Linked DNA regions of Drosophila melanogaster. The protein of the gene in region 1 interacts with the protein of each later gene in a pairwise test. Each region holds a gene or a part of one and is shown in the gene's direction. Other genes may lie near its edges.

What was found. Proteins that work in one complex are often made in the same cells at the same time.
Region 2: the proteins of MtnB (region 1) and CG13192 interact in a two-hybrid assay, tested with the Drosophila melanogaster proteins (one study listed by BioGRID).

Annotation. Positions count from the first base shown.
Region 1 is NT_033777.3:20,499,997-20,506,870, reverse strand, and holds MtnB (metallothionein B), read left to right. Parts: upstream 1-3,252; 5' UTR 3,253-3,340; coding exon 3,341-3,365; intron 3,366-3,426; coding exon 3,427-3,533; 3' UTR 3,534-3,769; downstream 3,770-6,874. Other genes in the region: Or92a (odorant receptor 92a), read right to left, coding at 685-897, 964-1,162, 1,262-2,076; CG46441 (uncharacterized protein), read left to right, coding at 4,928-4,985, 5,039-5,232, 5,288-5,326; Dic2 (dicarboxylate carrier 2), read left to right, coding at 5,559-5,986, 6,304-6,790. UniProt on the Drosophila melanogaster protein: This protein binds cations of several transition elements. Thought to be involved in metal ion homeostasis.
Region 2 is NT_033778.4:11,821,490-11,829,491, forward strand, and holds CG13192 (uncharacterized protein), read left to right. Parts: upstream 1-3,855; 5' UTR 3,856-3,926; coding exon 3,927-4,064; intron 4,065-4,411; coding exon 4,412-4,925; intron 4,926-4,988; coding exon 4,989-5,308; 3' UTR 5,309-5,608; downstream 5,609-8,002. Other genes in the region: Sobp (sine oculis-binding protein), read right to left, coding at 5,871-7,618.

The DNA of each region.
Region 1 (6,874 bases):
AGCCATCGAAGTTGTTGCATCCTTTGATAACATCTCCGAGTCGTAGCTTTCAGGTGCGGGCCGAAAGTCAACCGTTTATCAAGGGTAATCCCGAGGTACTTAGCCTGTGAAGGTTGATCTAGGATTACACCTTCCAGCTCTATGGGTGCGGTGACGGGACTTAAGGTCTTCAAGGTGAAGCAGGGATTGATGGTCTTTTGCGGATTGACCTTTAAATTCCATATATTACAAGTATTACAAGTCGTTTTTTATGACTGATCCGCAAAGTATGCAAAGTATTCTGTCGCGGGAACGTTAATGTTCTTTTCATGGGGACTTTATGTCACAGCCTTAAAGCATGTATTAATTAATAACTTTTACCCTCTATAACATCTGTAAAGTGTTAACAGAACAGATCTTTTTTATGACAATTTAAGATTTGTTTTATTAATTTTATGAATTTTTATATATTTTTCACATTAAATAACTTGATTTGTTGTGGTTTTTTTTAGGATAGAATACTGTTTTTTCTTAAAGATCACAAGTTGTTATCTTGTTATATAACATTATGTGTACTTATGTATTTGTATTTTGCAAACGAATTCAGTATCTTATTTTGCAAATATGTATTTTTCGTATTCGATGGATTGCTATCAATATTCCGATGTACCTATGCACATACATATATATGTATCTAATCTTCCCTTAACCATAATATGTGGTGCGGAGCAGTGCAAAAAACTGATACGACATGCTGATTACCTTCATAAAGGTATTAAAAGATATGGGTGGAAAGGTAGGCGGTCTTATAGAGGCGGGCTTCTGGCTGCGCGCGATAATAAATTGCAGGATGCGTTTGTATTTGGTGCTGCATGGCAACCAGTTCTGATTAAATGCCGAATGGCCAATCCGAGAGCTCTGAAATGTACATTTCTTGTTAATACTAGACCGAAAACAAGAAAAATTAATAAAAATTAAACTCACTGAAGATATCATTTCATCGCCGTAGTAACAGACCACAAAGACTTGAACCAGCGAAGCTGAAAAAAATATGAAGTACAACACTATGTCCTCCACATTTGAGGCTGTAATCTGAAAGCCAGCGAAGCAAATCACGAGCGATGCGGCAATAAAGTTCCACAGGATCAGGAAGCTGAATATGTTGTTGACCTCCTCGCTGAGGCTGAAAAGTGTATTATAAGAAAAACATGTAGTAGTTTAGTTCTTATCCTTAATTTGGATGAATTGAGAGATATATATAATATATAACCGTCAAACTTACTCCAGCGCCCTGGCATGATAGACGACCAAGTTGTGCAGGTATTTGATATTTTCTTCATCCGTATGATCACCTCCTTCGTAGGCCTCCAAATCATTCGCTATAAAGTTGAAGTGCATGGTCAGCTGGGTTATGGTCGCGATCAGCAGGAGATCCACGCAGACGTAGGAAACTCCGGCCACATAGGCACAATGAGCCAATCCCCAGTAGGAAAACCAGTAGACCGTCAGATCCGTTTCTGCGTCGTAGGGAAACAAAATGTGAAATCCGTAGTTGCGCTCAAAGATTTCCGATCCCATAAGGTAATACTTTATGGTCGACTTGATGGCTGGATAAAAGCTAAATGACGAGGTGTAGGTCATGCAGAGGATGGTGAATAGGGTCATGACCCTGTTCATGTGTTTCCGGTAAAACGATACGTTATACTTCCGCTGCGCTTCTAAATCTAAAGGAAATATCTCCTTGAGATCATCCAGCAATCTGACCAATCGCTTTCTATTCACTGTGAGACCGAACTGCTTAAAGTCGGCCATGAAGCTGAAGCCAATGCACGGTGCCACTGCAGTGGCCTCCAAAAGAGTAGTCGTCGACATTATATGGACTATAAAGTACGCGATTTCGCCCACCACATAGGCATTGAAGTTGAGAAAACCGAGTACCAGATAAAAACGTAGCAGGTAACGCCTTATCACATTCGGATCCCTATCGGAGTACAGATCCTCGCCGATGGTCTTGTAGAAAGTCATCGGAAACCGGGTAAGTTCGTCGAAGGTGATGACTTCATCGTCACTTTTTGGCTTACGTTTGCGGAACAGCATGATTCAGCTGTTTGATCGGCTGACAGAATAAGTCTTAGGTTTATATAGCTCCCATCAAAAGTGTCCCATTAAATTCGCATGAGACACCCTTCGCTGACCTCATAATTACTTAATTTAATTTGGGGTAACGGAACACCTGCCACTTGACTTTCTAAAATATTGAGTTCTACAGGAATGTTCCCAGGACTACACGGAGAAAAATCGAAGGACACTTTGGGGACGAGAGGATATTCATGCAATTTGTGGTAAGGAACTGAAGTCATACTCTAACTGAACGGTGCTGGCTGGTCAAGTTATATATGTTTATGTGATGTTAAATATAAACCTTGTGGTCAACACAAGCACAAGAATCAATTATATATTCATTATACTCGTTAAAGATATTTTTTTTTTAAGGTAAGGTAAATAAAATGGTAAAAAAGTAAAGGTAAAAAAACTAGCCGAGTTAGAGACTGCAGGAAACTTATCTAAGTCGTTCTTTTGTTGCAGGTACACCTAGCAAAAAAAAAAACAACTAAGTCAGGCCTATTTCTATATTTGTTCTCGAAAACTTTTTTTTTACTAAAAGTCATAAATATATATAAAGTTGTTCCGGGTGTTTGGTTTTCCGTGCAACGAACTGTTTTCGTAGCTCCCGCAGAGCTTATAGTTTTTGCCTAATTTGCAGCGCGTTTTTTCCTCTATTAATTTTTAGTTAGCTTTCCACATGTGATATTTTTATGGCATTTACGCTGGGTTTTTTTTGAAAAGAGTTTAGTCGTAAAGCGTTTTTGCAGCCAATATGAGCATTTAAATTTGTTTTACTACAGGAAAGTCTTTTATTTATTGTGAAAAACCCCGCTGGGTAGCTGCCTGCGCTTTTCATGCTTTTTATTGTGTGCTTCTGGGCTGTGGGCTGAGTCACGATACGCGGCGTATACGCAACGTATACGCAACGTGGGCAGCTGATAAGCTGATGAGGAGTTCGTGTGCACCGAGTTGGCGAGCAATCGCGTGCGCAAAAAGAATTGCCTGGCCTATCGTCTGATAAATTGCGAACCACTCGCCCCAGACTTGCACACGACGTGATAAGTTGGGTCAAACAAACAAATTTGTTTTGGATTTGTGCAATTTTGCACTCGTTCGAGTTCGAGGCAATCGAAGTGGGTATAAAAGTGGGGGAGTTGCCGGACTGGGTCATCAGTTGAATAGCCAAGCAACAAGCAAACAAGTGAATATCAGTTCGCCTCAGCCAAGTGAAAGTCGAGAAATAGATACATACAAGATGGTTTGCAAGGGTTGTGGAACAAGTAAGTGGTACAACGCAGCAGCAAGCTGTATAATTGACAATCGTTCTCGATTCCTCGACAGACTGCCAGTGCTCGGCCCAAAAGTGCGGGGACAACTGCGCCTGCAACAAGGATTGCCAGTGCGTTTGCAAGAATGGGCCCAAGGACCAGTGCTGCAGCAACAAATAAGCGGGCCAACTATATAACTAACTGTTTAACTTCTAAACTGGAGCTTAACTCCCAACGAGTTGGCCGCAATAAATAAAGTTTATAAAGATTTTGAGCATTTAAAAGTTTCTGCCGTTAACTTTTTGTTACTGGGCGGTCGGTCATCTTACCAAGCGATAATTATATTTTCGGCTTTTGGCAGCTAAAACCAATTATGGTAAAATAATAAACGTGAGCTGGCATTCAGTTAAGCAAACCGCAAAATAGAATTACATGAAAAATAAGCAAACGCAATGCGACAATTTGGGCGGGATTTGCAAATATTTGTATGTTCGCGGACAGCTGCACCGGAATTAAAATCCAATCCATCAGCCGTGATTTTGGTAGAAAACTCACCGAAAGTCCATTGAATTGTGCGCAAAACGGAACATAAATCGAAATAACATTCAATTTTCGTGGCCATCGAACTGAAACCAAATTATTTAGCCGCTTTTATCTGCGACTGAACTTTGCCCATATGCCAATGGCCGAAATTGCAACCCACTTTGTTTTGAATATAAAATGTATTTCGCTTTTGAGGCAATTTCTCAAAAATGTTGTGCCGATTTTATTGCATTTTCAAAAAATACATATATATTCTGCTCTACTAGCAGCAAATTCCTCCAGCGTTATGTTGGGTTTAATAGTCTGCCAATGGAATAGATACGTTTTGTATCGGCCAAATAATAACTTTCTGGCCAAGTTTTATTTATTTAATAGCCTGCTACTGCTACCCATTTCACACACTTTTGTTTAAAGAGCGGTCGAGCTTTCCATTCGAGTGGCTAGGCCTGAGTTTCCAACTGTCAAAACCAAATGACCAATTAAAATACAGGCACTTGTGGACAATTTCAAGCGTCCGTTTCCGGTGCTTGAGCTGTCAAAATATTTATGAAACAACAGTGGTTCAGATCCATTAGCATAATCAGAGGTGCGTGATTGAGGCGTTTCCCAAAGACCTTTGTTGCGTGCTCAGGTCGTTTTGTTTTCTTCCATTTTGCTTTGCTCCCTGCCCGGATGTAAAGTAGCAGTCTTTTGGCAAATCAGGTGTAAATAATGTGACAGGGAAACGCTCTTGTAATGACTACCTAGGACCTATACTCCACACAAAAATTCCAACAAAGAGTATGTTAATTACCATTTTTAAAATTAGCAATGAAAGTTTTCACAATAATAATAAAATATATTTATATATAAATGAATATGAATATAAAAAGTATTTGTGTATGATTTCCATGACAACTGCTATGATGAAAAGCGGTTTGTATTATTATTAATAATAACAAGTTATTACCCTTGCATTTGGTGTCAAAGTTGAACTTCATTAAGTTTCATATATAGAAAATACAATTACGAACGGGACAAGGAGTTTTAAAATGGAGCTCGGAATCTTGGAAAATGGGCAAGACGAATCGATCAGCTTAGTTGAGACAGGTGAGGTGGCAGACCCACAAATAATACGTTTTGTTTTAGTATAATGATTTCAGGTAATAAGGATAAGCCTAAAGGAGCTGCTTGGATAATAATTATGGTGATACTACTAAATGCATGCTTGATTGCTCTGGCTTTTCCATTATATCTGTATCTGAATTCTGTAGACGAAGTGGTCAAAAAACGCTTGATGGATTATTGCATTGTTGGTGGAGGCCTTATAGGAATTCCGATGTTGTACAGATTAGGAGTGAGTGAAATAAAACGTAAATAATGCAATTATGATGCTAATTATGATAATGTAGGATCTATCGAAGGGACGACCAAATTTCTACTACATTTAAATAATTCATTTGGTTACCATGATGCACTATGATTTGAAAGTAAATTCTAAATTTTTGTGTCTTAATATTTAAAGTCACCAATCATGCTTTCCTTGCCTTTAAACTCGTCAGTCGTTAGATCAACCCCGCACTTTCATTTACATATACATTATACTCACATTTAACAAACAACACACAAGTAGATCCGTAGTAATAAATTAAGGGTAAGAAGTTAGCAAATAGAAAACACAAAATGTCGCTCAGAAGGGGTGGATTGATGTCCTACAACCAGCGGCGTATTGCCCGCTGGTACTTTGGAGGTCTGGCGAGCTCCATGGCTGCCATGGTGACTCATCCGATTGACTTGATCAAGGTGCTTATCCAAACTCAGGCGGAGAAGCTATCGGTATTCCAGACCACCCGCAAGATTGTCAAGGAACAGGGACCTCTGGCCATGTACAATGGCATCTCGGCCTCAATGCTGCGCCAATACACGTACACATTGGCCCGTTTTGGCATTTATTCGGTGGGCTCTGGAGCTATGGACACCAGCACCATGGCCGGCAAAACATGTCTAGCCGCGATTGCCGGTGGAATTGGCGGGTTTGTGGGCGCTCCTGCAGATCTGATCAACGTCCGCCTGCAGAACGATGTCAAGTTGCCACCAGAGAAGAGGCGCAAGTAAGATTTAAAAATATTTATATCGTGATGGAAGTGTTTCCGACCATTTAAAGTATTCTTGAGCAAGTCTTGTCCGATTGTCCTTCCGTTTGTCCGTATAAACTTAAACTTTTAATTTCTTATTTTATTTTATTATTTTTTGTCCAATTTCCATCGATGTGCTAAAAAACAATCGAGGAACTTGACTATAGTGTTCGCTCTTGTTTTATATATATTTATAGCCCAAAGACATATTTCAAAATCACTTAAAACGCGCTTTAAAGTTATTGAAATGGATGTACGTTATTTTACGAGTTCGATTAATTTTTTTTTTGCAGCTATAAGCACGCCATAGACGGACTGGTGCGAATCACCCGCGAAGAGGGATGGAAAAATCTCTTCAATGGCTCCTCGATGATCGCGCTCCGTGGAGCTTTTATGACCGTAGGCCAGATTGCGTTCTACGAGCAAAGCAAGTCCCAAATGATAAAATTGGGAATGCCCGATTATATGGGCACCTACATCTTAGCATCAATGATCTCCTCCGTGGTGGCCACCACCTTGACGCAGCCCATCGATGTGGTGAAGACACGTCGCATGAATGCAGCACCTGGCGAGTATTCTGGATTGGGGGATGTGTTTGTAAAGACTTCGAAGGAGGGACCTCTGGCTTTCTTCAAGGGATACGTTCCCTCTTTGAGTCGATTATTGCCGCACACGGTATTATTATTCTTGGGCCTCGAGTATCTGAGGACTCACTTTGGATATCTACCAGAGCCAAAACAGACAGGTGCATTTTATCGATATGATGATGTCGATGACTAAACGATTTGCGTTATTTTCAAAATTTCTAGCTTTGCTATTACGTGACCATTCATTACATCGCATGTCTGAAAATAAAATACACAT
Region 2 (8,002 bases), on another chromosome or scaffold:
GCAAATGAGCTGCATTTTGAGACATTAAAGGGCACTTAGCATAATGATTTACAACTTTGATTCACGCAATTAAATTGGAATTTCTGGGCAACAGTGGGGCAAGTGTGGTGGAATAAAGGAAATACGAAAAGTAATATTCTAATTTGCATATCTCACTTTATCATAGAGAAAGGATGCAACACTGTAATCTTACAAAGCTTTAATAATCTTCAATTATTATCTCATCATTGAGCTGCATCATCACCTAATAAATTTAGGTAACCTTACACTTTTATTGAGTATGCACACTTGATACCCAAATTGTGAAGTTCACTGTGCCGCTTCTGCCAGTTCAATGGAGCTGAAAACGCATCCACATCATCAATGGCCGCAACAACGACCAGAACGACGACAACAATCATGCCCGGAGGCAGTCACACGGACAATGTTATTGACACCCCAGAGACAAGGTTTCGATTTCAGGCCCTCCAAAGTTCCATGTCCAGTGTGCAGTGCCCCATTCCAGTGCCCCATTCCACTGTTCCACCCAGTGCCTATCTCCTCGACATTCACACCCAGGATTATGGGCAGACGAGCGCATCCTTTGTCGACATGTCCTGCGCTTGATTGGCACTTTTGCTGAGTGCGTCTGATTGCCGCTCCGAGAGTCGGAGGCAATCAAGTGGAATGTCCAATGTCATCGGCGATATGTGGGTGCACCTTCGCCAGGTGTCATAACTTGCCGTATTTATGGGCATGGTGGGCTTAAGACAAAACGGGCACAAAATATGCTATCTAAAGTGGCATTTCATTAGCCAAGCCCTCGTTGGGCTCCATAAATCAGCCGAAGATCAAGTGGCCATCACATTATCGTATCCAATCGGATCTGGTCAATCTGCGGGTCTGCCAACTTCTCACTTCTCTGGGCGATCCGATCCGATCCGCACCAATTCGATTCGAATCGATCCGGTCTGGCTGCTCGGCGGAAATTGATCAATTACAGAGAGCACTTCGCCTTGCGTTGCCGTTTTGTGGACCAGTTTTTCCCGTCCGGCAACGGATAATTTGCATAAATACGAAGCAAAGTTCAGACGCGAGCTCAAGTGGCCCAAAATGTGACTCCATCTATGTTTGGCCACCGAGCTCGGATCCCATACGTATATCCGAGGCCTTAATCTCGACGTCGACGTTGGCCAGGCCGGCATGAAAAATGGCCGAAACGCCTTTAGTGTCAATTTTATGTTATCGTTTGATTTATAATCACGCTGATAGACGTCGATATTTTAATTGATTGCACTCGGCCGGAGTTTCCAACTTATTTCGGGGAATCTGTGGTGGTTTCTACACAGATTGTATCAGTCGCACCAATCACTTTCTATGGGATAACGGGTGAGAAGACAAAGGAAAGCAAAAGTAGTTACAAGATGTATCTGTTAGGAGATAATTTGAACCATTTTTTTGTATATAAATAAAACATATTATCCTGTTCGGATGTTGCAACCTTCATTACATGGCCAATTTGTCTGTAAAGATCAGCTTCATTTTTCTACCGAACCCATCACCATATCCAAATTACTTCTGAGTCTGGAATTCCTCCTGCCCGGCGATCTGAACAGGGCGATCTTCAAATCAAAATACCAGCACCTAGACCTCGCTTCCTTTTTCCCCATCGAGTGATTCATGGACATGGCAAAGTAAAAGCGAAGTAAAAACTCAACACGAGCAGCAGTTGGATGCAGATCGCAGATCCGGGGCAATCGAGCAGGAGGAGTAGAACAAATCGCCAGGTCTCCATTTCGAGTAGATGAAGCTCCATTAAGGTAGCACATAAATAAGTCGGGTAGTCATCCAAGTGTCGTCCTCTGTGGCCGGGGCCATTTAATTTCCGACTAATAATGACAACCATATAAAGTTATTGGTGGCAGGGGCCGGAGCAGACATTGTTTGTCGCGTGATAACTTCATTTCCATGGCCCGCCTCGCAAATACGCGGAATACTCGCGCAGCGGGGTATATGGTTACCGATACCCTTTGGGATACTCTGGGTTACTCTGGGATGATCACGTATGCGTATCCTTTTCCGAGAGTGGCGGCCTACACCAGAGACCGACTCTGTCAGCATATATCAGCCTAAGCCTGATTAACTATCGGCCAAACGGACGCGTATGTGTGCCAAAACACTTGGTATACGAGTATTCTATCCCGAAATGGAATTCCTTAGAAACCTGTAGCTCGGAGAATCGGGGACTTTGGGCCATCGCAGCCCCAATGTGGCCGAGATGCCCCGAATGCGATAGCGAAAATTTATGACTTCATTAAGGTAACAAGCCAATATGTTTTCAACTTCGAACTGGGTTGGGTTGCGTTGGGTTGGTTTGGCTTATTGGAAACGTTTAAGGAGTTTTATGAGCTCGTTGTTCCCGTTGCCGTTGTTATAGTTATTGTTGTTGTAGTCGTTGACCCATTTCAAATGGATTACCCAACATGCATAAATAGTTTAAACGCCTCACTTCCACCGATTCGTGCCTTCGGTTCTGTGGCGAAAAGATTTATGGACTTGTCGTTCAGCAGCTACCTCTGCCCCCCCAGCTCCTCCCTGATCCTGTGGGAGACAAAAAGAATTAACCGAGTCGAAAGCAAATGAGCTGGAATGGTCATACGGGCCTGAACCCTTTTTATGATTGCTTCGGCAGTTAAATGAACTTATAGCCGCATTTTCAACTGTTCACCAGACGACTGCATGGCGGCCAAAAGGGTTGGCTTTTTTGGGTGGGTAGGGGAAAACGTGTTAACTTGTTGCATCCAAATCGAATTACGGAGTGCGTCTGGTTGTCTAGTCAACTGCGGAAAGGTGCAATCTAAATACGGAAAGTGAGCACATGTGAAAAATATCGAGAAATTGTGACTTTGTTAGATAAGCGGTTATCTTGGCAAGCAGAAATTATGTTTGGCTTAAAAATAGCCTAAAATTTACTTATTCCTATTTGTTTAAATGTAATACAATTTAAATAGAACAATGTAACAACATGTAACATAATTTTATTCCACTGCCAAGCAATTAAAATGAATCCCTGACAATCCTTGCAATTGATTATTTAACAAAATATCTAAGCAAGCTTTAAGTATTAAGAAACATCCTTTTCAAATTCATATTTTGGGCCGCAATCGTAACTGAAAAAATTTCAAATAAATTCTTGCACTCAATTAAAATATAGCGCATTTTTTTGGGACCGTAAATCATGGTGAGCCATGAGCCTGCGGCACAACAGGAGTCTCCGAATTATTGACCGCTTGCGCTGGTGTTGGCTCGCTAAAACCACTTAAAACTGTCAACTTAGCATTGATTAACGAGCTTATGGCATGTTTATTTTGCGATCTTTGTTGCGGACAGACGGACGGTCGGCCGGCCGGCAGAACAGAACGGACTCCAAATACACATGTGTAGATATTTTTGGGCCCGTTTTCTTCGCTCGCAATCTGGCCAAATGCGCGCAATCTGGCTGACAAGTCTTTTACGATTCGGGCCTTAGCGTCTAGGCCACATGAGAGGCGAGAGACCGCTGACAAAGTCCATTAAAGCCGCGTAAGCCTGCGGTGCACGTTATGTTTTTTAATAGTCCGCGCATTTAGCGACTTAATGATTTTTCGCTGTAAAATTTTAAGCTTGTTTTCTCCGCAGAGGCTACTGCTACTCAATGAAAAAGTGAGATATTCGGCATGCGTTTTGCGTTGCTGCTGGCGAAAAAGTCGTTTGAATTTGCCGATTGGCGCGCCCAGGGCGCCCTCTGGCGCACTATTCACGCAACCAGTGGGGAGTAAGGCAGCGCGCTCGATAACAAATCGATAACAGTGCTGATATATTTTTAAATATTCCCACAGCGGCCACACTACCACGAGACCAAACAAAAACAAACGCAAATTAGTTAATTAATTTTAGCAGTTCTAAATATGGCTGTGCTACCACCAGATCCTGTATTCAGCCTGCGCTCCCCCGACATGGGAGCCGTCAACTCTCTGTGTTTCCAGGAGAGCGACCGATTGCTGGCGGGAACCATCAAAGGCAGCGTTTTCCTCTGGGATTTGCAAGTGAGAATCTTTATCACGTTATCTATGTTAATTCACAAGCCAACCTGGCATTAGATATTATGCTATAAAAGCGGTTTGCAAGTTAAGATATTAAGCGAAAGTATGTAATTCTTTAAAATTTTCTTTCACGTTGCATATACACACATAAATCCATATATAAATATACATATGTATATGTAGCCGCAACCATAGTCCGATCTTTGATCCAACTTTTTTGTAATATTTATAGCAATATCACGCTGTTAGGTGCCAAGTTTTAAACACCAGAGGTGAATAATGTATTCTCTCTGTTTGTACTTAATTAATTATATTAACAATATCCTATTAACCAACAACTTGTTTCTTAGACCAACCGCTCCGCTCTGCACTTTGAGGTGGGATCCGACCCCATAACCAGTCTGCACCACACCCCTGATCGCCTGGTGACCCAGGAGAAGGGCGGCACTATCACCATGTTCTCCATCGGCGGCAGTAGCTACGTTAAAGAGCGCAGTATTCCAGGCAATCACCTGGGCTTTTGCCGATCTGCCTTGCACACGAACACCAGCAAGACCAACGAGCAGCTGCTCTTCTATCCCTGCGAGGAATCGTCCATCGGAGTGCTTCACGTTACGGATGCAGCGGCCCCCACGCAAATACTGGTCCCAGATGATCCCCAACTGCCCAAACTGGGTAGCGTCACCTGCTTCAAGCCCTTCGAGTGCGCCTCGCAACTGTTCCTGCTCGCTGGCTACGAATCGGGACACTTCCTCACCTGGGACATCAGCTCGAGCGTTATTTTGGATGTGATGGAATTGGCCCAAGATGCTACGTCTGTGGACTACGATCCAGTTACGAATCGTGGCATTGTGGGTGGTCCAAGTAAGTTGGAGCTTAAGTCCAAACAAATTATCGTGATATAATAGTTCTATTCTTTTCTTACAGCCGACAAGTTGATTAGTTTCAGTTATCAGCGCTCATCGATGCAAATGCAGCTCGGCTCGGAGCTGTGCATCAAGAATCCTGGAGTGAATGGCGTTCGCATTCGGCCCGATCAGAAGGTGTTCGCCAGTGCCGGCTGGGATGGTCGTATTCGGATCTTCTCGTGGAAAAGCCTGCGACCGCTGGCCGTGCTTACGCAGCACAAGAATGGCGGCGTAATGGACTTGGCCTTCTCCAGCCAACAGGTGGCCATGTGGCATGCTCCCATCATGGCAGCAGCGGGCATGGATGGCCAGATATCATTGTGGGACCTCTACAACTGAACTATGACTTAGTCTTAAGTGTTACAATGAGGAACAGACACTGATTACCCTGACTGCAACGGCTTAGCGATCCTCTTGAAATAGCTTTACTTTATATGTATTTTGTAATAACCTTTTGATAATTGCTTCGGTTCAGTTATTTTTTGTGAATTTGTTTAGAATATTTTTGAAGCCAATTAAAGGGCTTGGCAATGCAGCTATTTGTTACTTAGATGAACTTTGACCACCCTTGAAAAAGAATATTTTTTGAAGTGTATCTTATTAAAGTATATAAAAAAATATATATAAAGAATATTTAGCATCTAGGATACTTTTCATTGCTTAAGTGCATTAGTCAGGACTACATCCACTAAATAATTAAACACATTTTATCCAATAAGTTATATTTTAGTTTATTAAGAATCAAAACTGAGTACCGCATGCACTTTGTGCCTTTTGCTGCATTCCTCTCCTCCTCTGGACTCCATTTCCGTTTCCGCTTACACAAACACACTGACACACTCACACATACATAGATAAATACATTCTACTACTTTTAAGGGGTAAATCCTAAGGTCTATGTCTACTTTTTAGCTTTAGCACTACCACTGTTGCTGTGGCTGCCGCTCATATTGCACTCTGCTTCCGGATCCGCATCCGCCTCCTTGTTGCTACTGCCGTTGCTCTGTTCGCCATCGTTGGCCATTTCCGGTTCCTTAAGACCCATTTTTTGGAAATCGCAGTCGATGATCCTTTTGCGCTTGCGCAGCGGTCGACTACACTCGGCCGCCGCCTCTTTGGTTTGAATCAGTGTTCGCTTGGTCTGCAGCCGTGTGATCTTCAGCTTGGGCAGCTTCTGGTTGTCCGCCTCGGGTTCGGACTGCGTAGAATCCCTGACGATGCAGTGCGTCTGTTGTGGTGAAGACGATGATTCCTGTGAAATTGATGGCGAAGCCGCGTTGGTGTCCCCATCTGGATTTGTCTTTGGTATGGATTCCTTTTCATCCTCTTCCTGATCGTTGTCCAGCTCCTGGCCAGGCTCACTTAGTTTCTCCACATCTGGTTTCTCCTCCTCCAGCTCACTTCTGCTTTTGCTGCAGTCCAGCGGCTGTGGTTGCTCCTGTTCTTCTGCGTTTTCCGCTCTGGTTGGAGCAGCCCGCTGCTCATCGAAACGCTTCCTCTCCTCGGGAGTTAGGTGTGCCTTGTAAAAATCTATCACAGGCAGAGGAACGGGTATGGGTATGGGCAGGGGAATGATGATGGGATAGGGCACCATCACGGTCACCGGCGGCACAGCCCCCAACAGAGACCCTAGCTCGGGCATTTGAGGCGGAAGCGGTGGCCCGAAGTGCGGACCAAATCCACGAGGCATCATGCCATGCGGAGGTGGATGCATAAAGTGATGCGGAGGCGGCGGTGGGCGCCCCGCAAACGGATGTCCCATGGGCACACCATTCGAAGGCGTCGCGAAGTAGCTGGCCGGGATGGCTGTTGGTCCCCGTGGCAGGGCTTGTGTTGGTGGCACCTGAGGAGCCTGCTGCTGTTGTGGTGCCTCCTGCATGCTGGGCATGGGCGAGAGCGGAGGCAGTGGTACGCTGGATCCACCAAAGTCAGCCGTTAGCGTGGGAGGTGCCTGATGTTGCTGCGGTGCCTGTTGCTGCTGCTGTTTCTGCAGCAGACTGGCCACAGTTTCCGAGCCCAAGGAAGAGGAAATACCTCGGCGCTTGCGGCGACCCAACTTTCCCGCCAAATGCCGCTGGACAGGCGGTGGCGGTGGTGGAGGGGCTCCGGGTCCGGGACCCGGACTCTTCTGGGCCAGCAACTTCGAGACGGGTGCCACTGAGATCAAAGGTTTGCTGGGATGATGACTAGGCGGTGAGTCCGGACAGCGACTGACAGCCGGAGCAGGCGGCGGACCCGGAGACACCGAGAGCGTGGAGGCGGGCGAGGCCGAGCGACTCCTGCAGTTTCGAAGCCACAGATCCGGCGTTATCAGCCCAGCCTCGCTGCCCGCATCCATGGCCTGATCCCGCAGGTGCGGATGCATGTCCAGGTGCGCCTGGGTTTCGTGGCAGAAGATCTGCATCTTGTACTGGTTGAGGCACTTCTCCGAGCAGAACTGTAGCTGGGAGGCGCCGTCCTGAAAGTCCACGTAGCTAACCGCGTGGCGCACATGCTTGCACCAGTCGCAGGTCTTGGCCTTCTTGAAGGATGCCCTCCGGCTCTGGGCGAAGCAGGATTCGGAGCAGTAGCGCGGTCCGTCGCAGCTGGTCAGGTAGTCCGGCGCATTCTCCGCAATCGGTCGATGGCACCAGCAGCAATTGCTGAAGTCTGTTGAAGATACAAAAATAAATAACTTTATAAGTCTAAAGAACTTAAAGAAAAGTATAAGGAAATCTCTTAAGATATTATTTAAAATTATAATTTATTCCGAAATATTTTCTTTATTCGAAAATTCCTAGGGCTAGCTGGAAGAAGTAATGAATCGAATCAAACAAAGCACATTTGGGAGGCAAAAATGTTCTATTAAAAAGGAAATCGATTCCTGCCGAACTGCAAATTTGATTTCCGCAAGCATCCGTACAAACTGAGCTCCAAGTATCCTATTCCTAATATGGCCCGCTTCTTCCTGCTCGACGCTAGCCAAAAATGTGTAAACCATATTTGGGTCTTAATGAATCTGTTATTCGATAACGCAGCATCGGCAAACTCCGG